Linked DNA regions of Coturnix japonica. The protein of the gene in region 2 interacts with the protein of the main gene of each other region in a pairwise test. Links are inferred from orthologs where the notes say so. Each region holds a gene or a part of one and is shown on either strand. Other genes may lie near its edges.

What was found.
Region 1: the proteins of PSMG1 (region 2) and PSMG2 interact in binary tests that used the Homo sapiens proteins (3 or more experiments, as listed by UniProt). The link is inferred for Coturnix japonica from reciprocal best matches to the Homo sapiens genes PSMG1 and PSMG2.

The regions. Positions count from the first base shown.
Region 1 is NC_029517.1:87,441,837-87,459,409, reverse strand, and holds the start of PSMG2 (proteasome assembly chaperone 2), read left to right. Parts: upstream 1-8,035; 5' UTR 8,036-8,088; coding exon 8,089-8,169; intron 8,170-9,365; coding exon 9,366-9,537; intron 9,538-10,351; coding exon 10,352-10,410; intron 10,411-11,173; coding exon 11,174-11,292; intron 11,293-12,383; coding exon 12,384-12,557; intron 12,558-14,025; coding exon 14,026-14,146; intron 14,147-14,501; coding exon 14,502-14,621; 3' UTR 14,622-14,639; exon of another isoform or gene 14,640-14,870; intron 14,871-15,303; 3' UTR 15,304-17,573. Other genes in the region: CEP76 (centrosomal protein of 76 kDa), read right to left, coding at 239-572, 1,304-1,470, 2,264-2,455, 3,723-3,851, 4,290-4,387, 5,149-5,334, 6,061-6,285, 6,665-6,746 and 2 more. UniProt on the Homo sapiens protein: Chaperone protein which promotes assembly of the 20S proteasome as part of a heterodimer with PSMG1.
Region 2 is NC_029516.1:97,183,942-97,197,233, reverse strand, and holds the start of PSMG1 (proteasome assembly chaperone 1), read left to right. Parts: upstream 1-8,751; 5' UTR 8,752-8,813; coding exon 8,814-8,935; intron 8,936-9,012; coding exon 9,013-9,113; intron 9,114-10,223; coding exon 10,224-10,375; intron 10,376-10,747; coding exon 10,748-10,810; intron 10,811-13,292. Other genes in the region: BRWD1 (bromodomain and WD repeat-containing protein 1), read left to right, coding at 1,115-1,353, 2,196-2,384, 3,010-3,981, 6,174-7,312. UniProt on the Homo sapiens protein: Chaperone protein which promotes assembly of the 20S proteasome as part of a heterodimer with PSMG2.

The DNA.
Region 1 (17,573 bases), on a different chromosome or scaffold from region 2:
TGACTGCAGAATTGCCACTGCAGATCCTAAGTACAACATCTAACCTCGCTCTATACAGTCAACCCAAATGTTGTTTCTAGTTGCTTCAATTTTAACACACTGCATTTCCACAGAAGCTGATGGAGAGCATATTGCAAAGGTCTAAGTATTTACATTACAAGCAGATGTTCAAGGACACTGTATAAACATACACCTTTATTACCTTAACAGATCAATGATGGTTTTTAAGCAAGATTACCTTCCTGTGTTCTGAGACGAGGATTCTCAGTTGCAATTCTATATCATTGCTTGCCACTGCTGCATCTATCGCTGAAGCACACAAAGGAGGAAAAGGGGGAACTGAAGATGCGGTTCCAGGAGAACACACTGATTTTATTGCTTCTGCATTCATGGGTTTCCACTTAGACTCATCCTGTAGGTCAAACACACAGACCTCCACTGCATCAGTGGGCTGACAGTTTCCATAGAACTTCTGATGGTTGAAGACACAACCTATCGTGCGATAAGGATACAACGGCTTGGGCTGTTCAACTATTGGAGGGTCATCGGGGTTGATAGGTCTGTGGATGTACCTGATGAAAGACATCCAATTTTTTATTAACACACTTGGTATCTTAAGGCAGGCTACAAAGTACTTCAGTAGGACAGAAGTAAATCATTTCTCCTTTTAAAAACATAACCTAAATTTTTTACCATTGCAATTACATTTTGCAACAACACATTAGTACAGCTTCCACATTATAAAATACAAAATCACAAGGTTGGAAAGGACCTATAAGATCATCTAGTCCAACCGTCCTCCCTTTACCATACCTAGAGAAAAACCCTCTGCGGGTTGGAAGGGACCTTAGAGATCATCGAGTCCAACCCCTGGGATTCGAGCCTCCTGTGTAGCAGAGCGGCACTTCTACCACTTGTGCCACAGGGGGGATTCGAACCCAGGCCTACCGGTGTTGCAAAGCAGTGTTCCACACAACCATCAGTTGCCCCAAGAGGCAAAAAAGTTACTATCCTGCTTAAAACCACTGAAAAGCACATTATGAAATACTTCACCTCACGCTCAAGCAGTTATCCTAAAAACAAAAGTATACAGAGCAAAGATGCACAGACAAAAGTCTCCTGGATATTTGATTAAATGACAAGACAGGGAAATGAATATGACAAAGAAACAAGACAAAACCAACAAGCACACACACACAAACACACACACACACACACACACACACACACACACAAACCCACCAGAAGAACTACACAAATCTCAATAGGTACTGCTTAGTTTTCTTATTTGCTTTTTACTCACCTATGTCCCGTTAAGCTCTCCCAAAAAGTAATTGTTCCATCGGTTCCACAGGTCATTACCCAAGCGTGAGGGATTCCTTTTGCTTTTGTTCCTACACACACAAAGGCTTCCAATCCATAGCCAAGAAGAAGACTGCACAGAAGGTTGGCATGATCTTCACAGTCACCCTAGACAGTAAATGTTTGTATGTTGGTTTGACTATCAGGCATAGCTAAAAACATTAGAAAAAGAAAGCAGTATTTCTCCAGTTGTTATCTAACAAGTCGCGTTTCCCTCCTATTTACCTAAAACATGCACCAGAAGTCAGGACTTCAAGGTTACAAACTTAAGAATCTTGAATTCCTCTTTTTAATATGCACCATATCAAAGTATATCAGGCTTTTACAACTTCCAATGGAGTTATTGTTCTTCACAGAGGCTCATATGGTGCTGCATTTTGGATTTTTTATGAGAACAGTGCTGACAGCACACCATTGCAGGTGCTGCAGAGCAGCGTTTACACAGACACAAGGATATTTCAGTTCTTCATGCTGCCTTGCCCATAAAGGGCTGTGGTACACAAGGAACTGAGAGGACAGAAACAGGATAACAGCTGATCCAGACCACCCAAAGGATGTCCCATGTCACATGTCATAGCGCTCAGCAACATAAGCTGGGTTGAAGGAGGAAAAGGGGATGTTTGTGATGATGGCTTTTATTTTTCCCCCCTTAAGGAACCATTACACATGATGTCCAATGGATTCATTGAAAAAAGGATTCAAGCAACAGCACTGAATAAAGTAAGTCAGCTCCAAAGCCCTCTTGTCTAATACTTAACATCTGCCACTATTTGATCTTATAAAAGCTATTTGCATTTATGAGTTCTCTGAAATGGATTCAGTCCACCTTTTGCAACCTGTTTTAAATGACTAACTTCATTCCAACTATAAAAGTTGTCATGCAAAGACTGTTTTTACATACCTTGTTTCTACATACGAATGCAAGAAGTGTGCACCACTGCTCTTGTTTGCCACCACCTCCTCCGATGACAGGAGCTCTTTCATAACCCAGGACACTGACAAATCGTGCTGCTTGTCTAGGTGTGTCTAGCAACCGGCCCGCTCGAAGTGGTCTGATATATGAACATACCGGACGGTTTACTCCATTTTCATCCTGAACGTGGTAAAGAAATAATAGTACTATTAAAACTTCCTAAAGCAATCCATTATCTACTGTTAGTTTCCAGTGAAGCTTCCATTCCGGCTGCACCAGGTGTGTTCAGCAGTGAGATGAATGCACCACACCCTTACGTGGAAGCTGACACTACTCCCGTACACAGCTGGTGAAGCCAGAAGAGAAGACCTCACTTCCCTGAAGACAAACAGCAGGTGTGGATTGCTTCCGGAAGTTATTTCATCATCTGTGCCAGGAAAATTGCTGCTCTACAAGTTAAATTCATATATTAGCATGATAAACACAAAGCATCACAGAATGGCCCAGGTTGGAAGGGACCTCAAGGATCAAGAATCTCCAAATCTCCTGCCACAGGCAGGGCCACCAACCTTGCCATTTAATAGTAGACCAGGTTGCCCAGGGCCCCATCCAACCTGGCCTTGGACACCTCCAGGGATGGGGCATCAGCAGCCTCTCTGGGCAGCCTGTTCCAGCACCTCACAACTCTCAAAGAACTTCCCCCTGACATCCAGCCTAAATCTTCCCTCCCTCAACTTGAAACCATTTCCCCTTGGCTGTCTGTTATCTACCCTTTCAAAGGCTTGACTCTCCTCCTGTTTGTAGGCTCCCTTTAAGTACTGAAAGGCTGCAATGAGGTCACCCTGCAGCCTTCTTTTCTCCAGGCTGAACAAGCCCAGCTCCCTCAGCCTGTCCTTATAGTCCCATACCATTCCTACTACTGAGGGGCAGTCACCAAGGAACAACTGATGTGATTGTGACGTAAGTTACAACACAGTAACTTACTAGCCAATGATTTGTTCACATCTGTAACTACCATGCAACATTCACCAGCCAGATTACTTTATTAACCACAGAGTGCTCAAATATTATATGGATCTGCTCCAGTATATCCAGTAACTCCACTACTTATTACTGTATAAAACCTGTCTGCAATAGTTTGTATAGATCACTTAAGCATTTGCCATTTGTACTTATTCAAGGAAAAGACTAAAATGGCTTTTCTACCTCCTACACCAGGGGTGCTTGGAGCAGCCTTTCTCTATGAAACATACTCTTCAGCTTCAGTATACATAGTTCAAGTCTTGAAAACTTCATTGTCAGCATACTGTATCACATGTAGCCCTGAATGGAATCTAACCACATCATAAATCTATACAAATTCTACATACACAAACTTCAAACATGCAGCTAAGACTAAAAAAAACACCTTGAAGAACAGATTGGTGTATTTGTAAAATATACAAACCTGTGCAAAAATCTTTACCAGCCTTGAGTTGTGTGTAGGCCTGATCTGCAGGTATTCTCTCCACCACTGTTTAGCATACACAAGAAATAAACGTTCTTTTTCTGCTGTCTTCTGACGTTCCAAAGTAAACTACAGGTAGGAAAATACACACAACCATTCACACATATAATAATTCCAAACAAGAACAAAAAGTAATCAATATACATACTAGCACATGATCCTTGCATATGAAAAATGAAGTTTAATATGACAGCATGCAACCAATGCTAAAGAATAGTATTTTAAAGTGAAAATCCAATGAATGTAAAACTCAATTTACATTTCTTGTTTGTAGGCTGATATATCAAGCTTGACTGAAGTAGTGTTCATCTTCAGTGACGCATATCTGTATAGAAGGACTACTCACCTTGCTAAGTGTGGAATAATATCTGTAACACCTTTGGGCCACCATTTACTGGCTTTTCAAGTAGAGTAACCGACCCTTTATCTACATAAATAACTGTACAGTGTGCATCCCCCCTGCTGATAAAAGAACAGGCCATCCCTCACCCCCTACATATTACTTACCTGAGTGCTTGTTATTTCTGGAGACAGAGTCTTAGTAAGTGGTGGATACATTTCAAGTCTGATGTTCAAAACACCGACAGAAACCTTTGATTCTGTACCTTTGAACCAAAATACATTCCTATCAGTCCTTTCAAATTCATTTGACACAGAACAAATAATAGTTTTAATCATACCATCATAAAAATAAAACCCCATAAACTTCTCTAAGTACATACAACACAAAGATCTTCACTGAAATATTCTACTCAAGAATGAAAGGAATGATAACCTGGCTAAAGAAGCTGGTAACTGGATCTGAGCCCTAAGGGCCTCTTTCCAGGTGATACCAGAACATACAAGATGAATGCTGTTCTGTAAGGGCTAGAATAGGCACCTACAAATAGACTGGAAGAGCCACAGTGTACAAGTGCCCATTGTTACTGAATGTACAACTCACTGCTCAGATCACTGTGGTTAGAGCAGGATCATAACTGCTACACAGGACAAGCTAGATTTTACACTTGAGAACACTGACACGGTATTTTTCCTGGAGACGCATTTGTTGATTTATGTTTGTTTTGATAGTTTACCCACATCCTGGAGATAACAGAGGCTCCCAGGTACAGGGACCACTATTGCACAGGATCTGGAACACACATTCTTAACACTTTGATAAGACAAAAATCTGACCATTAGTCCTTTATATAAACTCTTCTTAAGGATACCTTAAAGTAATTCATGAGTTGATACCTTAAAGTAATTCATGAGTTGATTAGCTGAACTGAAATCAAACCAAACCATAAATACTACTTTAAGCTTCTAATCAAACTTAGTACGCAATACTTTAACTCATCGTTAAATGCTCATTAGTTATTCTTACCTACACCCAGGAGTTCAACAGCAACATTTGTGATGCCATTCTCTGCAGCCAGGACAGATCGCCACTCCAAGAAATAGGACGCTACCAGCGTTGTCTCACCAAACGTGTCTGTTTTGATCAGAACCATATGCACTGGATCACATACAGATAACATAGTTGTTGCATCCACCATTTTACTTCCATCACCTGCCAGAAATAAAGCAACATTAAATAGCCAGAATATCACCCCAAGTCCTCCTTAAAATAATACTACTTTTTAGGTAAATAACTGCACTCTTGAAAACATGGAATGCTTCAGGTCTATTTATTATACACCACTATTGATTCCAGAATTCTTCTCATAACATTCATCTGCCACCACATTTCCTGGCTACCAACGGCAGAAAGGCAATAGAGGCGACAGATAACCGTGGAAGTCAGTCATCGAACAACTCATAGCAAACTGAGCTCAAAGTAAAGTTTTTCCTTCTGCATGGTGACAAATTGCTATCCACCTTCACGAGAATGCTCAAGGTTGGAAGGGACCTATGGAGGTCAGCTGGCCTAACCCCTGCTCAAGAAGGAACACCCAAAGCCCAGGACCATGGCAGTAACTTCAGAGTAGAAAAGACAAGGTAAGAATAGAGAAGGATCTAGAAGTGAAATCTAATAGTCATCAATTTCCCTACAAAAAATTTTAGTAATAAATAGGAAAGAAACACACTACATAATTTCAGACCTGTTTTGGAATAACTATAAAGTCAAAAAGAAATCCAGTGAAACAAAGCAAAATGATTTAGTGTAGGGTTTTTAGAGTTAGGGTTCTGGTTAGGCTGTGGTTGGACTTGATGATCTTCAAGGTCTTTTCCAACCTGGGTAATTCTATGAAAAGAAACAACATAGCATCAGCTTTAAAGTCATGATGTTCCTTACCTAGGCTTTCCTTGTGAACTTCAAGTAAAAAACCATCATGGAAATCTGGCTCACAAGCACAGGGAACGGGTTTAGAACGGAAACGCTGATTTCGGAAATGAAGACATAGTGTAAAAGTAGAACAGATTTGGCCAGGCAGAGGATCCGGTTCCTGAAGATGTTCCAGAAAAGCTTTTCCACCCAGAACCTGAAGGTAAAGATACCTTCGTGTTGGGTCAATGTTAGCTGTAAAGCGTAGCAACAAAAATGAAGAGACTACAAACAGATCTCAGGAAGCATGTTAAACATCAGCTAACCAACAGGAGAAGAGAAATAAAAAGAAATAATAAAGTTTTTGTATATAAGTCCCTAGGAGAAAGTGATTCTAAAATACATGGATGCTATTTTAACGTAAAATAAATGAAACATGAACGTCACATAAAACTTGAATCTGTATCAGTCAAACTTACATCCTTTAGATAAGCAAGACATATTTTTCTCCTCTTTGGAGGCTTTAAACGAATCCAGTTCATGTTGTATTATTAATTCCAAGATCAATAATCCTACATTTGACATTTCTATCAAAACTACAACCCAGAAATATGAGAACAAATGAGCAACATACTTTTTTTCATAACCGGTGGCTCTCTATCAACAAAATGTGTTGATGGTTTTGGAGATGAAGCCCTCTCCTTTCCACTCACATCCTGGAATCACAATAAAGAATTTTTAAGGTGTTAATTGAGGCAGCAGCAGCCTTCCCTCAACCTTCTATAATTTAAAGCATTCTCCTTCCCAATCAAATGTTATTCCTCTTGTACAACCTCTGCTAATAGGTGAGACTTAACAAAAACTGAGCAAACGCTGACACTGTGGTATTATCACTACACCAAATACAGCACACACTGTTTTGTCCTAAAACATCACAAGTCACTAAAGCCTTTTTGAACTACTAGAAATAGTACCTTCCTGTACATAAAGGGAGTCTACAGGAAAATAGGTGAAGGACTCTTCGTCAGCGAGCATAGAGTTATGACAAGGGGCAATGGCTTTAAACTGAAATATGATGGATTCAGATGAGATAGAAGGAAGAATTTATTTCAGAGGGCAGTGAGGCGCTGGCACAGCTGCCCAGAGAAGCTGGAGGCCCTGGAGGCACTCAAGGCCAGGTTGGATGGGGCCCTGGGCAGCTGAGCTGGTGGAGGGCAGCCCTGCTCATAGCAGGGGGTTAGTCCTCTCCAACCTAAGCTATTCTGTGATTCTATGCTTTTAGTGTGTTAGAACTTGGACAAGACACCACATCAGTTAAGAGGAATAAGCAAAGTATCTTCACACTTGAAGAGGTTCTCACAGTGACAAATTTAAGTTCTTTCATAACATCATCGATGATTCCTCGCTGTCTTAAGGCTTTTATCAGATCCTCCGTGGATAACTGCCGATGCTCAGGCGCCAGCTCCTCACGTATCGTCTCGGCCAGAACTTCTCGGATCCTTCCATGGACATCCATCTGAAAGAGAACTTCTTACAAGCTGCAGATAGAAGTTCCTGACAGCAGTTACAACTAAAGAAGCATCCTGTAGGACTGCCAGTACTTTCTGCACATAGAGCCCATGAGTTCTTGGATTAAATAAGAGCCAGCTGAAGAAGTCATACTGCCTCCCTAAAGCAGCTCTACCAATTAAAAACGTTATGAGCACAACGAGCCTGAACGCATTCACTGCTCTGCGCCTTAAACCTGCAAACCCAACAGCTTCCCGTCTGACTTCTGAGGGGGACAAAGAACTAAAAACTTCGGATGGCCGCTTCTTAGTTCTCTAAGGCACAAAAGCAGACAATGCCCATTTCCTCCCCCCCTCGGCACCACACGATCAAGGATGCAAAACACCGTGTGTCTCAGCTCACCTTTAGCAGCTGCTGCTGGATGAGCTGCTTCAGCTCCGACCCTTTACCCGGCGGCAGCGCCATGGCGGCGGGAGGAGCTCCGCCCCAACGGCCGCGGCGTGAGGGGGACGGGAAGCGGGCGGAGCTGCGCGTTGCCTTGTGGCATCCATGTCTCCGTCAGGCCTTGCCGGCATGTTCGTGCCTTGCGATGGCGGCAGCCCCGATTTCGAGGGTTTCACGCTGCTCATGGTGAGTGGTTGTCGGGGGGCGGAGGTCGGGGGGGCTGCAGCCTGAGCGCCTTCATGGATAGGGCACCCGCAGCTCTCTTCAGAGCGCCTCCCCGCCCTCTGAGTGAGGAGATTCCTCCTATTACCGGAATCTCTCCCATTTTAGCTTAAAACCATCCTCCGTGTCCCATCCCTGCGGCTCGTGGCTTACATACACCTTCAGGGGGTGAGGGAGAGAATCGGAAGGGAAGTAAAACATGTGGGCTGGGATAGTTTGACAGTAGGGCAGAAAAGGGGAAATAATAATGAGAGAAGAACGTAAATAAATGAAGCACGCTGCAATTGCTCACCACCCTCTAAGCGATGCCCAGGCAATAGCAGCCCCCAGCCAGCTCCCCCAGTTGTGTTGCTGAGCACTTCACCACATGGCATCCCTGCCAGGCAGGGGGTTGGAACTACATGATCCTTGAGGTCCCTTCCAACCCGGGTCATTCTGTGATTCTATGGCATGGGATGTCCCCTGGGCCAGGCTGGGTCTGCTGCCCTGATTCCTCCCCCTCCCAGCTCCTTGGCCCCCCAGCACTTCGCTGGCAGGGCAACACAAGGAGCCAAAGTGGCCTTAGTTTTGTAAGCGCTGCTTTGTAGCAGCCAAAAGAGCAGTGTGGTAACAGCGCTGGGCTCACCTGAAATGCAAAACACGCTGCTACACCAGCTGCTGGGAGATTAAATCTATCCCAGCCGAAACCAGGGCGCTGGAAGACGCCTCATTCTTACCTATTGCTCAAGCTGAGACTTGTAGTTGAGTGTGTAATATCAACGTTACCATTAGGTGTCACTTGAGGTCTGTCAATCTCTGCGTTCTAGAGCGACTTGCCAATTCTATGCTCCCCACTCCCTCCCCCCCCCCCCCCCCCCCCCCCCCCCCCCCCAAAAAAAAAAATATATATATATATATGTATATATATATATATATATATATGGGGGGAAAAAAAGTTTCAAAACCTTTGTTCAAGTTTACAGCGAGAGACAGGGTTATTCACAGAAGTGACCAGTGTGATTCTGGGTGACCAACCTAAGGGATGGTCATCTTTGTCTGAAAATGAGCTGTCAATTAAAGAAATCACATTTAGTCAGAAATGAAATGTCTTGTACCTTCACTGTTTGGAGAGCATTTTGTCTATAAAGCACATTGTAATCCATTGACTTCTGTTGCTTCAGCCAGCAGTGTCGGTAGGAAACGTTGGCCAGCTGGCAGTAGATCTGGTGATCTCCACACTTCGCATGCCTAAAGTGGGCTACTTCTACACCGACTGCCTGGTGCCGATGGTGGGGAATAATCCTTATGCAACAACAAAGGAGAACTCAATGGAGCTGAGCATAAACGCTGAAGGTGTGTACTAAATGCTTGTGGTGTTTGCAAGAAGCATACAGAGCAAAAAAGGTTGCATTTACTTTTTTTGTTGTTATATTTTGCTTATGGGGACTGTGCTTAAACTAAAGTCCTTAGTAACAGTTTCAGTAACTAAGTCTCTTAGAAATAAGAATGTGTTTGTACTTGCAGAGGAAACCGTTAGTAGGCCTTACTTTATTTTTGATAACCAGTCTGACATATGCAACCAGTAATGCTGGCTGGCTCACAATCGTGTTACAGTGCAGCCAAAACTCCCAACAATTTTAATCCTAAGCAACATGAAGTGTGCTCATAGTTTAGGTGCAGGAATGCAAGCTGCGTTCTGGTGTAGAAGGGGATTTCTCACTTCCCTCCTGTGTTTGTCTTTTCCCCCTTGTGCTGTTCCTCCCCCTTAAATTCACTGGGTTTTGCTCCACCTCAGTTATGGCGTTTCTTTCTTTTTTTAATTCCTCTTCTATTTTATGCTCTTAAATCATAGAAATTTCAAAATAATCTTTCATAAACTTCGTAAAGCTGCACAGAAGAATTTCCTGAATCATCATAAGGGGGCAGATCTTATGTTCTGCTTCATTCACTCCTTTGAATCTGTGTGAAATTAAGATTTTTTAAATTTTTTAATTAATTAAATTAAAGTGAAATTAAGTCCAGTGAAGACATTGCACAAAAATAAAGAGCTATTTTTAACAGCAATCAGGTTTTCCAGCAATTGGATTTGATAACTCTCAGGTTATCCTCAGGTTTGTAAAGCCCAGATTTCTTTCTTGTTAAAAAGCTTTATTATTTCTCCTTTTAGTGTATTCATTGCCTTCGAAGAAGCTTGTAGTTCTGCAGATCAGATCACCTTTTATAAAGGTACGTGCATCCGTTCTGAGCTCACTCGTCAGTAGTTGCAGTTCTGTGTGCAGATGGTTCAGGCACCCTGGGTCAGTTTTACAGAATGATTCAAACAAAGCAAAGAAGTACAATGAGAAGAACTGTGCCAGGTTAGGAAACGTTTTCTTAAACCAGACCAAAGTCTCGCAAGATATTTTTCTGCTCAGTGCTGTAACGCTTTCTGTGTCGGATACAGTTTTGTCTCAGAGCTGATTTCTGCTCTCGCTGAGGGCTGAGGTTTAGTTTTGTTCTTCCAAACCCCAAAACAACTCAGCTGTATTGTTAACATGTCCTTAGTTATTAATAGTCTCAAACAGAACACAGAATGTTCTGAGTTTTGTCCATCTCTCTTTTCTTCATACAGCTCTTGTCCTCGTGTTTGTATCTTGTATTGTGATGGCTTAATTTCTGCTATTGCTTTTTGGCAAAAATTGGAAGAATATGGTGTGATCTACACATTATCCCATCCCGTTCTAAAGCTGTTTCCACTAGTACTTACGGCACACAAAGCTGTTGTTATTTGTGTGCTTTTAATGAGTGTAATCATTATGTGTGTAGCTTTAATGAGGTAAATTGCCAGTCTTCCGCTTTTTGAAAGTAAATGTGAACCTGTGAGCTTAAGGGATGTGAAGAAAAACATATAAAAAGCTGAACGTTAAATACGACATCTCATATTGTTGGCTTTGGGTGTTTTTTTATCAACACAAAACATTTCTATTTCATTCTCTGTCCCTGCATGAAGGACAAATACAAGCCATTCTGTCAAACACTGCTTTCTTGGGTGGAAAGCAGCAAATGTGCCAGAGTCATTCTTCTGTCCAGCAGCCACGCATACCAGCGCGATGACGAACAGCTCCTTGGGTATGTTTGTGTCCTTAAAAGATCTGTTTAATATTTATGTTCATTTTGGCAGCCTGACTTCTTTTTTTTTTTTCCCCTCTTTTTGTAGTACTTTTTATTATTTTGCTTTGCTGTGTAGACAGGACATCTTGCTTTAATATCGTATCAAATGTTTCGTGTTACACAGCGCTAGTCTCTGAACTTACTCCTGCTGAAAGTCCAGAGCAAATAATACTCTGTAAGGACATCGTGCTTGGCCTGCACAGTCAGTCTCAGCTTTAACTTCTTTATTTCTTTCTGTTGCAAGCAATGTCAAGGACCAGCAGCTGCTTGAGATCTCTGATTAGATGTTTGAGATTTAGTAGAATATTAGCTAGTCTCCTAACCTTTCATTAATTGTTCTGCATGTTGAGGATTTTCAGTATAGCAAGATCTCCAGGCTGCATCCCTGTGTAGAGCCTTAAAGGAGGCTTATGTCTATGTGCATCCCAGATAGAGGCCCAGTGCTGTTTGCATGCAGTTTAAAGAACAGCCAGCTAAAATGGAATGAAGTGGGAAGGAGTGATATTCATTTTGCACATTCTGAGCCATAAGTTGTACCTATTTCACCTTGGTTTGTGAAGGGGGACACGAGTACCACAGCATAACTCTGACACCAGAGTCACTAAAGACTGAGAATAACACATGCAGAAAACAGCTTTTTGAAGTCTGCGGGTAGTTGTAGCGTGAGTCTATTAAAAATACTGTATAACAGTGGAGTCTGTACTTACTTTAATTGAATCTGTTCCCATATGAAGCAAGAAAAATCACCTTTTATGTGTAAACTATTTTAACAGCAAAAGATCTCCTACTTATGTGCTTATGCATCTGGTATTTGCCAGTTACAGAAGCATTTAAAAAGGATACCTTAGTTATATTTGTGGCAGAAAGTTGTGTATATTGTCCTGAAGTCACTGAATACTTGTACATTTTGGCTTGGGGAAGAAGGGAGTATTGCAGTTCTTCGTTGCAGATTTGAGGTCCTCAATGCTCGCAGCTTCTTTCTGTCACAAGTAATAACTTCAGTGCTGTCTTTTATTGTCAGACTGAACACATTCATGATTTGTTCCTAGGACACCGCTGCGCTACCTGCTCACACCAGCTCTTGAGAAAGCAGTGAAAGGCCAAATACAGGAGCTGAAATGGAAAGAAATGGAAAAAGTAGCAGCTTACCCTGGAATAAGCGATGCAGAAAAAGTTCTACATATTCCTGGAGGTGGCATCACAAAATTATTGTTTACTGAGAGGTGAGTGGCATTGAGATAAACGCATAAAGGATGTCAGGTGTCCTATCAGAGGTGTTCAAGGCCAGGTTGGATGGAGCCCTGAGCAGCCTGGTCTAGTAACACATCTGGAGGTTGGTGGCCCTGCATGCAGCAGTGGGTTGGAACGTGATGATCCTTGAGGTCCCTTCCAGCCCAAGCCATTCTATGATTCTGATGCATGAGTAAAATTATTATGGATTAGCTGTGGATTTTTACTGTTGTTAAAATGTGTGCACATTAGGAATTGTGTCAAAAGCACGTCAGGTGGCAAATTTTAGCTAGCAAATCTCAAGCACTGCACTAAACATATTAGTTCTGCAAAAGGGATTTGTTTTATAAGTGCCAGGTGGAAAATTAGCTTTTGGGGTTTGGGTTTTTTGTGTGTGGTTTTCTTTTTTCCTTAACTATTGCTTTTGTCACCCATCCAAAGTGCTATCTCCAGCAGCAGGAGTTCCTAATACCGTGCTTACCTTTGTGCTGACTTCAGCTGTGGAAACAGTGCAGAAATGCGAAAGCTGAGACCTCCCAGGACTGCAGAAATCAAAGGAAACTAAACCAAAAACACACAAAAACTTCATGTCTAAATGAATAAAACAGGACAGTGCTAAGGGAAACTGAAAAAATATTGAAGTTGTTGTAGCGCATACATCATAGGACTTTAAATTTAAACTCATTGATGCTGTTTTGTGGCCCTCTAGTTGGTATCACTCCTCCCCCCTACCCCCCAGAAAAAAAACAACCCACCAAAACCATTTCAGAAATAACAGTGTGGTAAAAGCCATTTACCAGCAGTAGCGTTCCTGGTCTAACAAAGGGAAGGGTAAACTTCAGTGTATGTTTTTGCAGAATATATGCTTAAGTCAGCTCCGATTGTGGGTTTTAATGGCTTTTTTCCTGAGTGTTGCAATAGCAAACAGGGCTTGGAAAGTTTGCTTCATTGGTAGGAGGCAGAAGTGGAAATTTTAACAGCCTGCAAAACTGCCCTTTGAAATACGTGGTAGGATAAGGAGTGATTGTAGCAAAGGCTTTGTATAAATGCCCTGCTGGGGCAAAAGTGCCAACGCTCTGGTTGCAGACTCCATGTAGAGGAGGCTGCGAGTAACCCTCTATGACACAGGATTCTTGCCTTGCAAAGGAAAGAATAAATTCAAGATTTAGAAAGCAAACATTAAGTGTGAAAATGTAACCGAGCAAGTCTGGAGGAAACAAGAAAGGAAAAAAAAAAGTATAGTGTGTGTATGTATGTGTATATATGTATATATATATATATATATATATGAATATATAAGGATTACGTTTGTATGTATAGTATCTGGAAATCTGTATTTTCCTTTCTAGTGTAATACTTCTTCTAAAGCAAACCATATACAGCTTGTTGTGTGCTAAATACATCAATCCATTTGTTCTTGATTAGTAAAGAAACAGAAAATCCTGCTTGTTTTTGTTGCAGTTGTTCCAGAGGAATCCACATGGCGGTTCTTCTCAAATTCTGCTCAGAAGGGGACAATATCCCTGACGCCTTTGGGCTGGTGAACTATCTGAATGAATGGCTTCAGCTAATTAAAATCAGAGTAAGTGCTGTTTGTTTTAGAGCTTTCATATTTTCTATCAGCTATTTTCATTTTCTGTATTGGCTGCCTTTGCTTTGGCTTGCGGTCACCAAGAGCAGACCAAATGGAAGATATGTTTTGATTCAAATTCTGCTGGGAAGTTTCCCACCCAAAGAACAAACCTTGGGCAGAGGTGGTGGAAACTGTGTAAAGATTTCATCTGCTTAGAACTTGCAATACTCTTCTCTAAAGCAGTCTACTATGACACTGACACTTAAAATGCTGCCCGTGATTTTTATACATATGCCAGAGAGAGGATTGCATTAAATCGCATTATTATTTAAAGCGTTAAGGAGTTACTCTGTCCTTGTTGCAGAGAAAGTCTTTCATGGCTGCTTCTCCAGAGTGGGAAATACCAGATCCTTCTGCACAATGGAAAATACCAAGTTCTTGGCGCCTGCTTTTTGGCAGCGGTCTCCCACCTGCGCTCTTCTGATCTGCTTGGATTTCTTCTGTAAGTCACTCCAGCATAGTCTCACTTATCCCTTGAACCGGTGATAACTCACTAATTGCCACAGTATCCTGATTTGTTATGTAAATACATTCTTAGGGAGAACCTCTTTTACCCCTGTTAACTATTGAAATAGCAATAACTTTCAGAAATCGAACAAAGAAATAGGTTTGACATGGTTGTTTCTTGAAGAATTCTTTTTTTCTTTTAAATAAAATATTTCCAAACCCCTTTTTCTTTGGTTAAAGTGTTACTGCAGTAGAAAAGCTCACAGTGTCCGGGTTCGAATCCCCCTGTGGCGCAAGTGGTAGAAGTGCCGCTCTGCTACACAGAGGCTCGAATCCTGGGGGTTGGACTTGATGATCTCTAAGGTCCCTTCCAACCCGCACGAGACTGTGAGACTGTGTCTTTCTTAGCGTAGCTGGGAACTTGATTGACGTGCAGCTTTTCGAATCTTTGTAGAAAGATAAAGGGCCGCTCTTCTAAGCCAACTGTGGATCGCTCTTCCCAAACCTTCCTGCTGATGTCAGTGTAGCTCAGCAGTGATCTCTCTGCTTTCTGTTCCCAGTGTTGCCACAGCTGCTTCAGCTGGAGAGGCTGCGAGTGGCAGAGCAACACGCACTGTGTTTTCTGATGTTTGTGGTAAGAGTTTCCACTCTTCTTCCAGGGACTGCAGAAACACCAGAACAAAAGCTTGCAAGGCAGACAAGCTTTCTCAGACTGATTTGAGAATGTATTCAGTGCCCTGACATATAAAGAAAGTAACATGCTGTCCTGAAAGCAAGCAGCCTGGTGCCTGTATGTTATAGGTGTAGTCTGAAATACCATTATTTTGTTGGTTGTGTTTCATGTTTGCAGTGGGACTTGTTGCATTACTAAGCTACATATTTGGGTTTGATCCTTTTATTTCTTCTGACTCGTGGTCTTGTCATTGTTTTGCTAGAAACGTGAATGGAAGTACAACCCGTTTGGGGCCTTTGCATAGAACTCATCACAGTGGTATTTCATACCTGCAAACACTGTTCATTCGACTCTTGTGTGGTTGGTTAGAAAAGGACCAATAGCACAAATGACCTGAAGGCTAGTCCTAATGAAGGGTGACAGGCAAGTGGTGCTCGGGTATCTACAGAAAGCTCAGCAAGCAGGGGATGCTGGTATCAAATAGTCGCAGCAGTCAGGATGCATCGTGCTGTATGCTGAGTGCTGTGTGGGATGCAGCATTTCAGCAGGAGCTGTCTCCATCATTTAACAGCCGTGACAGCTCATATCCCAAGCCTTACTTGTTCTGCTTTGAAGCAAGGAGAAACTGTGATTAAAAAGCCTCTGTGTGCCTGCTGAGCATGGCTCCAGCAGACGATTTAAGCCTCCGATTGGAAACCCATTTCATCTTTGTCTCAAGAAGCAGCCTGTCCTTTCTGCCTTCATGTTTCACAGCAGAACTTGAGAGCACTGCGCAGAGAAGTGAGGCACGTGCTGGGACTTGCTGAGCCTGTGTCTTCACACTGCTGCTGTCACAGTACAGCCCATCTGGTTGGGAACTCTCAGTTCCCTGTGCTCAGCGAGGCGGTCCCAAGACCCGCTGAGCTGAGAGGATGGCGTTTAAAGCCCTGAAGAGCAGTTTGAGAATCCAGTCACGGTGGGACAAGGGCTGAAGTACGCTCAGGGCACACCATGAAGTACAAGTTACTGCATATTGGACAGCGATCAGAGATAGTGGTGGGTGAGAGAAAGCAGCGTGAGCATGTGCTGCCCATCACTGTATGTATTATGCCAACTCAACAGTTAAGAGAGGGCAAAAAAAAAATGAAAATGTAAATCTCAAAAGGCACAAAGTGCTGAGCTGCATCCAGAGATGCAGACAATGCTGCAAGCAGGGTCCGCTGCTCCATTCTGCAGCAACAAGGTTTGCTACGGCATAGGGCAGACGTCTGTCCTTCACTAGAAGTAGGCACAGCCACACAACTCAAAATGAAGCTGAATGTAGCTGTGACAAACCCAACGCTCGTGACTGTTTCCAGATGGTGCTGAGCACTTACTTAGCTTTAGTAACTGCTTAAAGTACTCCCCTTGTTCAGCTACGTACTGAAGTTAAACACAACTTCATCATTAAGCCTCACACCCAAGTTAGGATTTCAGGTTGTGTACTGTAGCAGAAATACTGTCCCATATTCCCGTGCCTTCCAGTTTTCTTCTCCTTCTGCTTTCAGGGAGTTAAGGATTTACACAAAAATCCTATGAAGTACAAATCACAAGTAAAACACCCCCCGCACCACACAGTAGTTTAGACATTCACAAAATACAACTTTTCAGTGAATGAGGGTTTATCTGAAAGTACCAGAGCTCCCATGAGCACAGAATTGAGCTTAGCTCCCATAACAGAAGGCACAGGGCTGGTAATGCTGCTGAGTCCATTAAACCAACTTCAGGCTGTTCCACAGTTCACCCCTTCCCACTCCAGCTGCTCAGAGCACTGATAGATCATAGATGTGAAGCGAAACACTACACGTAACACACACTGATGGCACAATACAAAACCCTTTAATGAAAGGCTCCACCTGGGCACCTGGCCCTCAGCCCATCCATTGCAGGGAGGGGTGGGCAGTCAGACTCCCCCCTTCCCTGAAGGCAGAACAACAGAACACATTCCCAAAGTTACTCCGAACATTCTGTGTATATTTGGTAGCAAACATAAGGATTACCAAATCAACCGGGCAGATTAATAAAATAACGTTCTTAGTGGTGTATTACAAAAGAAATGTGCAGGAGTTCCTCCCAGCTGAGACTACAATACTTAGCATTCATTAAGTATTTGCATAAAGCCCATTCTAGCAAGAATATGTTGCAACGTTCCAGTTAAGACAGAAACACCGTGAGGTGAAACATTTCTTCTAGCTCCAAATAAGCTTTTAACAGTTGCTTCCTAACATCATTCGCACA
Region 2 (13,292 bases):
AGTGTAAAATTGCCTGTGGAACAGTGAAAGGACTGAGGAATATAACAGGAATGGTTTAATGTATGCTTTATTCTAAATAATTCAGTGATGAAATCAGCTTTTATTCTGACTGGAATATTAAAGCATGTTCTTGCTGCATATGTATTAGTTATCTTACTACATACGGAAGAAATTTAATCCTATGGAACTTATATTTTTAACTTGCTGTAGCATTCTGCTGGTTTCTGGTTGAAATGATTTACTCTTGAATTGTTAATCTGCACATGGGATGAAGTAAAACAAAGTACAAAATACAAAAACAAAACGTGGTGAATTGTTGGAATTGAGGGTATGCTTTTCTCCCACTCTCTGGCCTTCCTTGATGGACAGTGAAGGGACAGTAATATAGTTTTAAGAATAAAATCAGAAGAATACGTTTCTCATATATTTGACTTAATTATTTTGTGCATAAATGTTAGATTACACTGTAAGCACACCTGATGAACTTGAAGTTTTACTGGATGTTTTTCTTGGGTTCTCAGTGTTTTCCAGCAAAACAATTCAAAGAACATTGCAAATACACAGCAGTGTAGGCAGGAATCTTCCTTTGAAACACCACTGCTTTTCCTCTCTGAAGAACTATATGTGACTTGTTTACAGTTCAGTGGTGCTTTGCAGGACTGAATCTTTGGGAATTCTTGGAGAGTGTTTGGATATTAAACTATTATGCAGGAGAGCATATATGTCTCATGTCTCTAGAACATCTGAAAACTTTGGGTTGTAAGCAACAAACTGAGGTACTTTGAGGTTTATGTGCAGATAACAAGAGACTGAATTCAACAGAAGTTGAAGCTGTTGTTTACCAACAGATTGCAACAATAGGATGACATAGGTATAGAAGGCATTTAGTGTTACCATCTTTGGTAGATTATTATATTAATAAAAGGAGTTAATGCTTATCTTCATCAAAGTTAAGACTATCCCATACCATATTAGATTATAAAACTAAATGTAAAATCGTATGGCATACGGTTAATTAAGCTTTCAGAGAAAATTACTTTTGATGTACTGAACTGTCTGGTTTTCTTTTTAGTAGTTTTACAAGCTATGATGCTTCTACTATTTCCCTTTTCAGTAGGAATTTGAAGCAGAAACCTTTAAAGTCTCAGGCAAAAGTTGAATCTGAACAGGAAGATTCTTTCAGTCAACCTACCTCAAGCAGAGCAGCCTGTGTTGCAAGCCATAAGACAAATGCTAGCAATTACAACCGTAGTTCGTCTGGAGAATCCTCTGATTCTGCATGCCTGACATCCTTTGAAAGGAATGGAAAAGCAAGATCTACAACACTAACAAACCGTTCAACACTGTCATCAGGTAATCAATGGAATCTGTTTCAAATGAGGGTTTTCATCTTTGTCTTATCTATGCGTTGCCTACTAATGTTTCCCTTACAATTACCCTAATTGCCAGTGTATTCTAAATTAAAAATGCAAACATTAACAATGCAAAAACTTTGGATTTTTTATGCAGTTTGCATTTCAGGGAATACAAGTGTCTGTGTGCTTTGACTTACTAATCTATTATTAAAAAGTTCTGTGTACTAAAGAATATTGTGCTGTAAAATCTCACAGAATGCAGTTGATTAATTTCATTAATGAAAAAAGTATTCCTAAGAAGAAATTTATTGCTACCGTAGATTACTTCACAGTCAAATAGACAGTACTTTTCCATAGCTTTGTATGGAGATTGACAGCAAAGCTGAATGAGTAGGACTGTTGATAAGTTGACCCACACACCTTTATGACTTGATGCTCCTTAACCAAATACAGTGATAGAATTTTTTCACTTTGAGCAGCTGTTCTCGGAAAGTGGTTGTGGTGAATGGGTGACTCTTGAGAGGAAAGCGTGGTGTATTTTTTAAGGTGCTTTCCTCTTAGAGGTGTTTTCAGATAACATACTTGCTATTTTATTTGAAACTTAAATACGTCTCAGAGTGACTTAACACCATACACTTCACAAATGTGGAATGGTATACTTTATGGAATTATCAGTTTCATATGTGCAAGAGATTAAGACATGATAAAAAGTGTATTCTTAGATAAAATTGTGAGAAAATAAGATTTCCAGCATAAGTGAAGTGCACTTCCTAAATGAAAACTAACTGTTTAACTGTTTTAGAACTGTATTCTAATTGAGGATTTAATTTTTTTTTTCAGCAGAAAGTGAAGTAGAAGGTTCTTTAGTTTCATCTACATCCTCTTCATCCTCTTCAGAAGAGAGCTCAGAAGAGAGCAAAGAAAGCTCTGTGGCTCTCGTGTCACCTCCACTGCACAATGGTGTATGTAGAAGAAAGAGCACCAATTGTAGGGTAACCAGAAATCAAGCTGCTCAAAGGAAACAAATAGGTAAGACTGGAGTAGTTGTCTTCTGAATGGCCCATGAGCCAGATGTATGCATGTGTATGTATACACACACACGCACACATGTACATAGAAAAATAATTGTAATTAGTATTTTTTGAACTGTTGTATGTTGTAGTACTATTTGTTTGATTACTAGTAGACCTGTTGCTCTCAAAATGCTGCTTTCTGTACATCTCACTTTTTGTTTTTCAGTCCTTAGGGTAAGGAGGGCTGAAACCAAGAGCCTACTGAGAGAGCATCTCTTGAAGAGTTTTGTTTGTTAAAGCTCTAAAATATAAAGCAGTTTTCAAAAAACTGTAATGAATCTAAAATTCACGATATAATTGTTGGATGCAGCTGTGGGCAAACTGGGCTTAGTAGTTGGTGACCCTGCCCAAGGCACGGGGGTTGAAACTAGATGGTCTTTGAGGTCCTATTCAACCCAGGGCATTGTATGGTTCTGTGATATAGCTCAGTATTTTTTCTTGCCAGACAACAAAACCACCTACCTATTACTAGGGGAATGTGCTTTGTTTGTCATGTCTGTGAGTTGAACCTGTTCCAGATTTGATAAGGCTGAAAATGTGACTACTCCTGAACATAAGACTTTAATCCTTCTCCTTCACAGGTACATTTCCCCAGGAGAATGGGAATGCAAGAAAAGCTGTCAGGAAAAGGTTATATGAAAGCAATTCTGAAAATACTTCTGTGGTGACATCTGAGTCTCTGAGTAATAGTACAGGGAGACATAGAAAGATCCCACGCAGAAGTGCTACTGTGGCTGCTACTAAGTTAAGACTAATGAGTGATGTGGAAGAAGAGGTTTCAAGCTCAGAAAGTATTGGTATTGGATGCAAAAATAGAAAACTGCCTCATCGAAATGCCTCAGCTGCAGCCAGGCGAATGTTACTGGAGGGGTCTGAGGATGATGCAGGTTTGAAGTCTGAAAGTGAAAAAGAAACGGAAGAGCAGCTTACCAAGAGGAAAGTTCTTTCTCTACCTACTTCGTCTGCTGTACGAAGAAAATTTGTAAGTGAATCTGAAAATGAGAGTTCAGATTCTGAGACAGATACACAGATGAAACAGAAAACCTGGCAAAGCAATGGCCATAGGCAGTTACGAGGGACAGCTCCTTCTGTGTCTCCCGAAACAAGGAGTCCCACACAAGGCTCTTCAGAGGACTCCAAAAGCCATAATTCAGAGGATGGGAGCAATCAGAAAGCTGAGCAATCAGTGTCTGCAAATAAGTTTGTTGTGAGCAACTCAGAGGATGAAGCGTGTTCCGAATCGGATACGTGGAATGCCAGAAAATTGTTTGGTCTGCACCTTGTTGCTCCCATAAAAAAAGCAAAAGTCTTGAGTGATTTGGAGGACACAGCAGAATCTGAAACAGAAGACAGACAGGATGGGAGAAGTGTTGTTTCAGAGACCTTGGTGCCATGTAGAATTATAGCGAGCCCTATTTCTGGACCTGGTGCTGATTTCAATGACTCTTCTGATACAGAATCTGAAACAAATTCCAATAACAGTAATTATTTTGATGCTTCTTCAAAAACAAGAAAGTGGAAGAGAAAAGGAAAAACAAAAATCTTCCAAAAAGGTAAAATAATAATAATAATAATAATTTTGAGTTAATGCATCTAACCTCACGTACTGACTAGGCAGGGGAAATTTTAGTGTGGGTAATGACTGCAGGGATTTGGACTCTATGAAGTGTAATGGTGTTCCTTGTCCTAAAACAAGAACTAGAAATCAGCAGGTGAACTGTAAGAAATGGTGATGCTGACAGTGGGACTGGGAGGTCAGCAAAACAGCACTAAGGAAACGATTAGTTTTTATGGTGGTGGTTTTTCGGTATTTAGAATTAGTGATGAATGCTGAAAGTTCTTGAGCAATTCGGGGTTTACATTTGTCTATGAAAAAGTCACTAAGTCCCTACTGTTTTCATATTTAATCAGTGCATCCTTCTCTGTGTATGTATTAGAAGAATATGTATGAATGAATTATCTTGAGCTTCACACAAGAGATCTCAAAAGGAGAAATTTATTGTCTTTCATCAGTCTGCTCCTTGGTTTAAAACATTCAATCATGAAAATCTGTGAGTTGGTGGATGAAGTAGTAGCACAGGCCATATGAGGAGAGGCTGAAGGAGCTGGGATTGTTCAGCCTGGAGAAGAGGAGGCTCAGGGGAGACCTCATTGCTCCCTACAACTGCCTGAAGAGATGTTGTTGTGAGCTGGGGGTTGGCCTATTCTCTCATGTAACTGGTGACAGGACTAGAGGGAATGGCTTCAAGCTGCACCAGGGGAGGTTCAGGCTGGACATTAGGAAATACTGCTTCTCTGAAAGAGTGGTCAGGTGTTGGAATGGAGGCCCAGGGAGGTGGTGGAGTCACCAACCCTAGAGGTATTCAGGGAATGTTCGGATGTTGTGTTGAAGGACATGGTTTAGTGGGAGCTATTGGTGATGGGTGAATTAGCAAGCTTGTACTTGTAAAAGCTATTATTTGTGTACTGTTGGTATATATACATGCTTTTTTTTTGTTTGTTTTTAAGCCCTTTAGTATTTATTGAACATAAATTTACTTGGATATTTGGCTGTATGTAAGAGGCTGTGTATGTGACTCAAGGGATGGCTGGATATTCCTACCCAGTATTGTAGCCTGGACTCCCAGGTTTAGAATTTGATAGCATGTACTACAGGACTGCTTGTCACAACAGTAGACTGGGTGGATAAGGCCTTTATATCTTGGTGTCTGTCTTGTAAATGTTTTCTTGTAGATCCTAGTTTGTGACTAATGGAGTTCCTTATTTGATCCTCCCTGTCTGTACAATCTTTTTGTACCTAGGCAGCATTTAATGTGAATTAAATGTGTTTTGTTTTTCATCTAGTCTCTTAGAATACACATTCATGGCATTATTTCTTTATAAAGAGTTGAGGGAAAGTATTGTCCTGTCCTGACTTCATAGGTCATGTTCTGGGGAACCCAGGAGCCTGAATAACTTCTAACAGTGATGAATGTAGTAATCTGGCCAGGAGGAGCCAGGCACTGAACCTCACTGGAGTTTGTCTCAGACAGTCTCTTAATGGCTGTCATTCTCAAAAGATGCTAGGCCTTTAGTTTTAGTAGTTGAAATAGCATTAGCAAGACAAGCTTTCTTCATCCCTCTGTAAGAGAAGAGCATTCCCTTTAAACCTTCTTCTCTTTAAATGTTTACTTGAAAAATATTTAGTGGCCTATCTTTCCTTGAAGTAAGAAAGGAAGAGCTGCCGTAGCTTTCCATCCATCTGCAGATTGTACAGGTAGAGAATCATCAAGGCAGTGGGTTCAAGCTATGGTAAAATTGATTGTTATTTCTATTACCAAGAGGTAATAGTCTGATGTAATACTTAAGAATAAAGAATCTAAAATTTATAATAACTCATTTTGAAAGAGCAAGTAAAAACAGTAATAGAAGTTCGAGCTTTAGTGATGGAAGTAGGAGTACGAGAAAGGTTGTAGGTTAAGCTGGTAATCTGTAAGGCAGTTTTTATAGGGATGCTACAGAATGCTACTGTACAACCTTTTCTTCATATCAAAGCAAAAGACTAATCCTGAGAATTAAAAACATGCTCAGGACTGAGTGTCTGGCTGTTTCCTTAGTAAAGCCTTAGGGTAGATTGCTCATAATGGTTGAAATAAAAGCATGTCCTCGCATATTTCATTAAGTGCGGCAGTGTTTATGCTTAATAAATGAGCTATTTCAGGAATGCAAGTTATTAAAAGGAAATTCAAAATATTTTGTTTTGTAGAATCTACATCTGAGGAGCCTGGACAAAGTGGGAAAGTGCTCAGGAGCAGGACCTGTATCATTAACTACAGGAAACACATAAAGGTGTCTAATGTGACGGAAAAGAAAAATCCACGCAGATGCGCCACTGTGGCAGCTAATAAGATTAAGATAATGAGTGATACAAAGGAAGAGCTATCGAGCTCGGAGAGCGTTTGCACAGTGAAAAAGAACAGAAAGCAGCTTCATGGCAGCACGTCTGTGGCATCCAGGAAAAAACTGACCAGCAGCTCAGATATAGATGTTAGTGTGATGTCTGAAAATGAGAAAGAACAGGATTCTGATGAAAAAAATGATTTTTGTTCTGGATCGTCTGCTCCTAAGAGAAAGTACATTAGCGAGTCTGAAGATGAAAAAACAGAATCTGAGGCGGAGGTAGAAGTGACTAAAAAGGAGAGTGATGATAACGAGAGTCAGACAAAGAGAACTAAAAGCGACGCGGCTCTTAAAAATACATTTGACTCTTCAGAGGAGAATTCCACAAACCACAAGGTAGAAAATGGGAGAAATTGGAGAACTTCTGGTCAGTCAACTTCAGCCTGCAACCATCATACGAGCAACTCTGAAGAGGAGGTGGGTTCTGAGATAGCTAAACGTGGAACTAAATCTATCAGAAGAGCACGAAATAAAAAATCCAGAGCTCCTTCGAAAAGATTAAAATTATCAAACAACCTAAAAGAAACATCAGAATCTGCGGCAGGGAGGAAGGCAGAGGAAAAAAGCTCACTATCAGAGAACGTGGAAACACCTGGCACTGCAGGGAGCTCAAAAGCCAATCGCGATTGTTCTTCTGATTCAGACTCTGGAACTGATAACAGTATTTATAGTGACGCCACAGAAACAAAAAAGAGAAAAACAGACATTGTTAGAAAAGAAATGTCAAGTTTACCTAAGCCTTCCAGAAGACCCCAGCGAAGGAAACGTCGGAAACGTAACCAAGAAAATAATGACTCTGAAGATTTGGAGTACAGCAAATACAGGAGAGCTAACCGGCGTACTAAGATAAGAACTCGAAACAGGGGTAGGCGGACTGTTAGATATGACGATTGTGACGATGATGACGATGACAGAGGTGTAGGTGATGCAGCTTGTAAAACGTAACCTTAAAAGGAAAAGCCAGCCCACTTTTTTTTTCTTTTTTTTTTTTTTTTTAATGGTAATAGCACTAGAACTCATGTTGGATGCTGGCTCTTCCTTGTCCTACATTTCAGGGAATATATTTATATTTTTCTATGAAAAAGTTATGAATGTGATTAGATCATGACTTTCTCCTTTTCATATTTTGACTTGCACTTGCCTGCCCATGTAGCAGCATTTAGCACAGATGCCAAAATGTGCCTCATTATAGGGGCAATTTTTTTTGTCTTTACTGGTATTTTATTACATATAACGAGAGTTTAAAAAGAAAAAAAAAAAAAGAAAAGTTAAAACACTGCGTAACAGGTTAATAGCAGTATGTTGAGTATTATTGTTATGGGTGCTGCAATGGAATACTACCTAGGTCATTCAACATTCAAGAACAAATTTCAGACATCTCTTACGCTGTAAGAAATCATATATGATATTAACAGGCTTATAAATAATAGTGTACGCTATAAAAATTCGGTGGATGCTAGTATCGCATCAGACAAGTAATGAGCAGTCACTGAGTTAACGACATTACAGCTTCCGCTAGTACAGATGTTAAATGTTCTGTACATTCATTAATGAAAACATACAACTAGAACCAGTTACCAGTTGAGAAAAGCCTATTTGCCAATTCAAAGGCACATTGGTGCTGGTGAAGAGAGGATTTATACTGACAGGTAGTACTATCATTAATGTGACTTCTATACTGTAAACTTCAGAATATGAAATGCAGGTGAACACTTGGGCCTAAGGGTTTTTTGTGTGTTTTCTTTATAAAATAGAAAAACCGACAAAACACTTGTTCTGTTTGTTGTTGTTTTTTTTTTACGTGTGAGAAGTTGGAGGTGCAGGATTCGTACATTCCACACCATTTCTGCAAAATCTCTGTTGGTCTTCCACATTTAAACTTCTAAGTGCTTTAATGTTAGATTTTTGCATTGAATTAAAGGTAAAAGTTTGGATTGCTGCCGTTTATTGACCAATTCTTGAAATGTTTGAGGTGGCTGCTGTCAAAAAATAATTATTACATAGAAGATGAATTCTTGAGGAACAAATTCTTGGGGATAAAAGTCCAGCTTCATAATCACACTTAATATATTACTAGGTGCTTATACAGGTGGCAGTGAAGTAATGAAAGCTGTGGCAGCAGTTACTGAGAAGCACTTCTCCAGCACTTGTTATGCCCAAAGGTGCAACTGACCACGTTTTGGTGGTATCTAGAACATTATCTCAGTATAGACAAGTACTATTAGTTCATGAAATAGGAACACGGTTCACTAACAACGTGTTCTCTGTTGGAACAACAACTCCTATCGATTTGGCTTGGCTCTAGTGGGTGGGCAGGGAGGGCTGAGGCTCCTCCCGCCGTGCCCTCTGTGGTAAACTCCATGGTGCCGGTTATGCAGAGCGGCTCGGCGCGCATGCGCGGTGCCCGCCCACTGGGGAGAGGAAGGAGGGAGGCGGTGACGGTGAAATGATGGCGACGTTCTTCGGGGAGGTTGTGGTCGCTCCGTCCCGGGCCGGCGTGGACGATGAGGAGGAGACCGAGGAGACGGCAGAGGATCGGGAGATCCGCAGGGAGCTGCAGGAGAAAAGGTAGCGGCCTGGGGAGCGAGCGCTGAGCAGCGCCTTGTTTCCCGGTGGGTGCTTGTAAGGCCGGCCTCTCTCGACAGGGAGATCGCCGTGCTCTGGACGCCGGGAGCCGCGGGGAGCCCCGCCGAGGAACCCCTGCCCTGCTCCCGGTTCGTGGTCGCCGTAGGACACAACGCTGCCGGTAGGTGGAAAGCGTGGGGATGGAGCCTGGAACAGGCTGCCCAGGGAGGTTGTGGATGCCCCGTCCTTGGAGGTGTTCAAGACCAGGTTGGACGGGGCCCTGGGCAACCTGATTTAGTAAATGTGTATGTTTGGTGGCCCTGCCAGGCAGGGGGGCTGGAACTACATGATCCTTGAGGTCCCTTCCAACCCGGGTCATTCTGTGATTCTGTGAATGGCCAAAGCGCTGTCCTTGTGCCTGCAGCCTCTTGGGTTGGGCCGTGGTGCGGTAATAGGGTGGAGGGAGAGAGCTGATTTATAGTCGTTTGATTCAGCAGCGTTTTTGCCGCTATGTTTTGCATGCTCATGTGTCTGCTGCCTAAAGCCAAAGATTCAGTTCTACTTGCTGACTGCATTCCTGTTATTTTTTGCCTGAGAAATCTGTTGAATCTGATAGTTAAGAGCTATTAAAGACATAATATTCATTAGCACGTGCTCTTGGTATATTCTGAAGGAATCCAAGTTGATTGTGGCGATACAATTCTTAATGTGTGTTGTTAATAATAGAGATCTCTACCTATATATAGAATCATAGAATTACCCAGGTTGGAAAAGACCTTGAAGATCATCAAGTCCAACCGCAGCCTAACCAGTACCCTAACTCTAACAACCCTCCACTAAATCATATCCCTGAGCACCACATCCAAACGGCTCTTAAACACAACCAGGGATGGCGATTCAACCACCTCCCTGGGGAGCCTATTCCAGTACCTAACTACCCATTCTGTAAAGAAGTTCTTCCTAATATCCAACCTAAACTAGCCCCACTCTCACTGTAAGCACCTTTCAGGTACTGGAAGAGGGTGATAAGGTCTCCCCTCAGCCTCCTTTTCCACAGACTAAACAGCCCCAGCTTCCTTAGCCTCCCTTCAAGAACAGTTCTTTATGTCTTGAGTCAATGAGATTACTCACGATCTTTGCTGGATATGGTTGATAAACATGTGTCAGTAAAAATGTTTTTACTGTACCTTTTTAATTTGTGGATATTGAAAAAGAAATATCTCATTCCATCTGTTTATTTGTAGAACAGAGATTTTTATTCTTGGTAAATTAACATTAGGATTCTTTGCAGCTTTCCTGTCTTCTTTTATTCTGGATTCCGTACGTTGGAAAGTAGTTGGAGCTGTGAAACTGTGGAATGAATGGTGCCAAACAACCAATGCAACAAGTGTCCTCCCAACAGATTCTTTCTGCTTGTTCTATCAATTAATATCAGATCCAACAGTAAGTGACTTAGAATTTCTCTGTACTTTAGCATTGTGAAAAAGGGAGCAAGCTCCTTTCATCCCACCTTGCCCAGCACAAATGAAGGATAAAACATTACAGCTGCAGCATTTTGGATTAACCTCACAAGCAAATGTGAAGGGTCATTATGGTCACTAAAACCACTTGCAGTTCTAGTGTGAGGAGTTTAAAACAAAGATGGTATTACATGGTAGAATGTTTCATATGAGGCTATGAATGAAAAACTCGTGTTAAAATAGAGAATTCCAGGAATACCAAACAAGTTGTTGGTTGCTGTCATACCATCTTTGCATGTGGTATTTATTGTTGTGTCCTATAAACCACTTACTCAACCTTGTTTTTCTTTATCAGGTTTTGTTGTGCCAGTGTAGTTGCTATGTTGCTGAAGATCAGCAGTTCCAGTGGCTTGAAAAGGTATTACTGCAAGACAACATATTGAGCAATGAGATCTTAGGACTGGGAATCTTCAAGTTAGTGCATCTGCCTCTTCTCTCTACTCTTCTATACCTGACAGTACTGTAAATAATTTTGTTTTTTTACTATGGCTTTCTTAAGTACTCAACAAATTCAGAATTATCAATATCACAGAATCACAGAATTGTAGGGGTTGGAAGGGACCTCTAGAGATCATTGAGTCCAACCCCCCTGCCAAAGCAGGCTCCCTACACCACGTCACACAGGTAGGCGTCCAGGCAGGTCTTGAATATCTCCAGAGAAGGAGACTCCACCACCTCCCTGGGCAGCCTGTTCCAGTGCTCCGTCACCCTCATTGTAAAGAAGTTCTTGTGCATATTTGTGCGGAACTTCTATGTTGTAGTTTCATCCCATTACCCTAGTCCTGTCCCCACACACTACTGAAAAAGAGACCAGCCTCACCACTATGGCTCCCACACCTCAGGTATTTATAAACCTGGATCAAGTCCCCTCTCAGCTTCTTTTTTTTCAAGGCTAAAGAGATCCAGTTTCATAAGTCTTCTCTCATAGGGGAGATGCTCCAGGCCCTTCACCATCTTAGTGGCCCTCCACTGGACTCTTTCCAAGGATCTGTCTTTTTTGTACTGGGAGCCCAGAACTGGACACAATATTCCAGATGAGGCCTCACCAGGGCAGAGTAGAGGGGAAGATCACCTCCTTCGACTGCTTGGACACGCTCTTTTTAATGCACCCCAGTATGCCATTGGCTTTTTTGGCTACAAGGGCAACACTGCTGGCTCATGGTCAATCTGACTATGTATATGTTTACCATAACTCGCAGTGCAGTTACTTGTTTTGGAGAGCTTCAGTTTTGTCCCTTTCCCATTTTACAAACTTTTTCCTATTCATCTTTTCAATGACGTGTTTGAACTGGAATTTCAGCTTTGGGAGAATCCTGTAATAAAGTTATAACATAACTTAATTATTACAGCTGTCAGATAAACATTGTGAAATTCAGGGTAGGTGATATCTTCACTGGGTGTGTGTGAAGAACAGATGGGTGTGATCTGACTCTTTCACAAGGTGGAATTCTGAAAGAACCTGCTTCCAAAGTAGCATCTGCCCCATTTGTTAATATACTCAGATTGTTATATGGGCAGACCTATCATGATTCAAGGATGCAGGTACTGCTAGTCATTCAGATCCTTACCCCTGTGCTTTCCCCCTGAATAATATCCTTTTGATTTTAACTAAATAAATCCGAGGGGAATTTTCAGGCTGTTGATTTTGGATGTGGATCCCGGTCCCATCCTTGCCTCAGAAGAAGCATGGCTTATTTGGTTGTTGTGTATTAATCTTGCAGGCAGCTCAGCACCACACTGAGCCCCCCTGCTCTCGGTGGGATGGAGGAGAGAACTGGGGGCAAAAAGGAGAACTTAGAGGTAGAGATAAGAACAAAAGACAAAACTGTTTACTAAAAAAATGAGAAGAGAAAGTAATGATGGTGATTATATATAGTGTGTGTGTGTTTACACACACAAAACAAGTGGAGCACAAAACAGTTGCTTGCTACTGCTGACTGATGCCCAGCCAGTCCCCAAGCGGCTTTGTCTTACCTGCCAGCTGGCCAGGCCAGCATGTAAGGAGGATTACCTGGGTGCAGGGGAGGATTGTACAAGAGAGCCACAACAATTGTGCAAAGGTGAAGGAGATGAGAAGCTGGGGTAAGTTTGTTGAGTCATACGGGGATTTCAGACCCAAGTTTGTGGAAAACTGGTTTTCTTGTCATTCCATGGCTGGGTGATAAATTTACTTGACCTTGTGAGGCCCCCTCTGGAGTACTGTGTCCAGGTGTAGAGCCCTCAGTACAAGAAAGACATAGAGATTTTGGAAAGGGTCCAGAGGAGGGCCACGAAGATGATCAGGGGGCTGGAGCACCTCCCCTATGAGGACAGGCTGAAGGAGTTGGGCTTGTTCAGCCTAGAGAAGAGAAGGTTGCGGGGCGACCTCATTGCAGCCTTTCAATACCTGAAGGGAACTTACTCCCAGGAGGGGAATTAAACTCTTTGAAAGGGCTGACAATAGCAGGACACGGGGAAATGGTTTTAAGTTGAAAGAGGGAAGATTTAGGTTGGATGTTAGGGGGAAGTTCTTCACTAGGAGAGTGGTTAGGCCCTGGAACAGGCTGCCCAGGGAGGTTGTGGATGCCCCGTCCTTGGAGGTGTTCAAGGCCAGGTTGGATGGGGCCCTGGGCAACCTGATCTAGTAAATGTGTATGTTTGGTGGCCCTGCCAGGCAGGGGGGTTGGAACTACATGATCCTTGAGGTCCCTTCCAACCCGGGTCATTCTGTGATTCTGTTAGTAGTTGACTTGAAATTTTAGAAACCTTGGAACCTTAAACATGGTGGTTTTGCTGTATTCTGCGCTTCTTTGCACTTCATTTAAATTGGGAAAAGAAAGAAAGATTATTGTGGTTTTCAC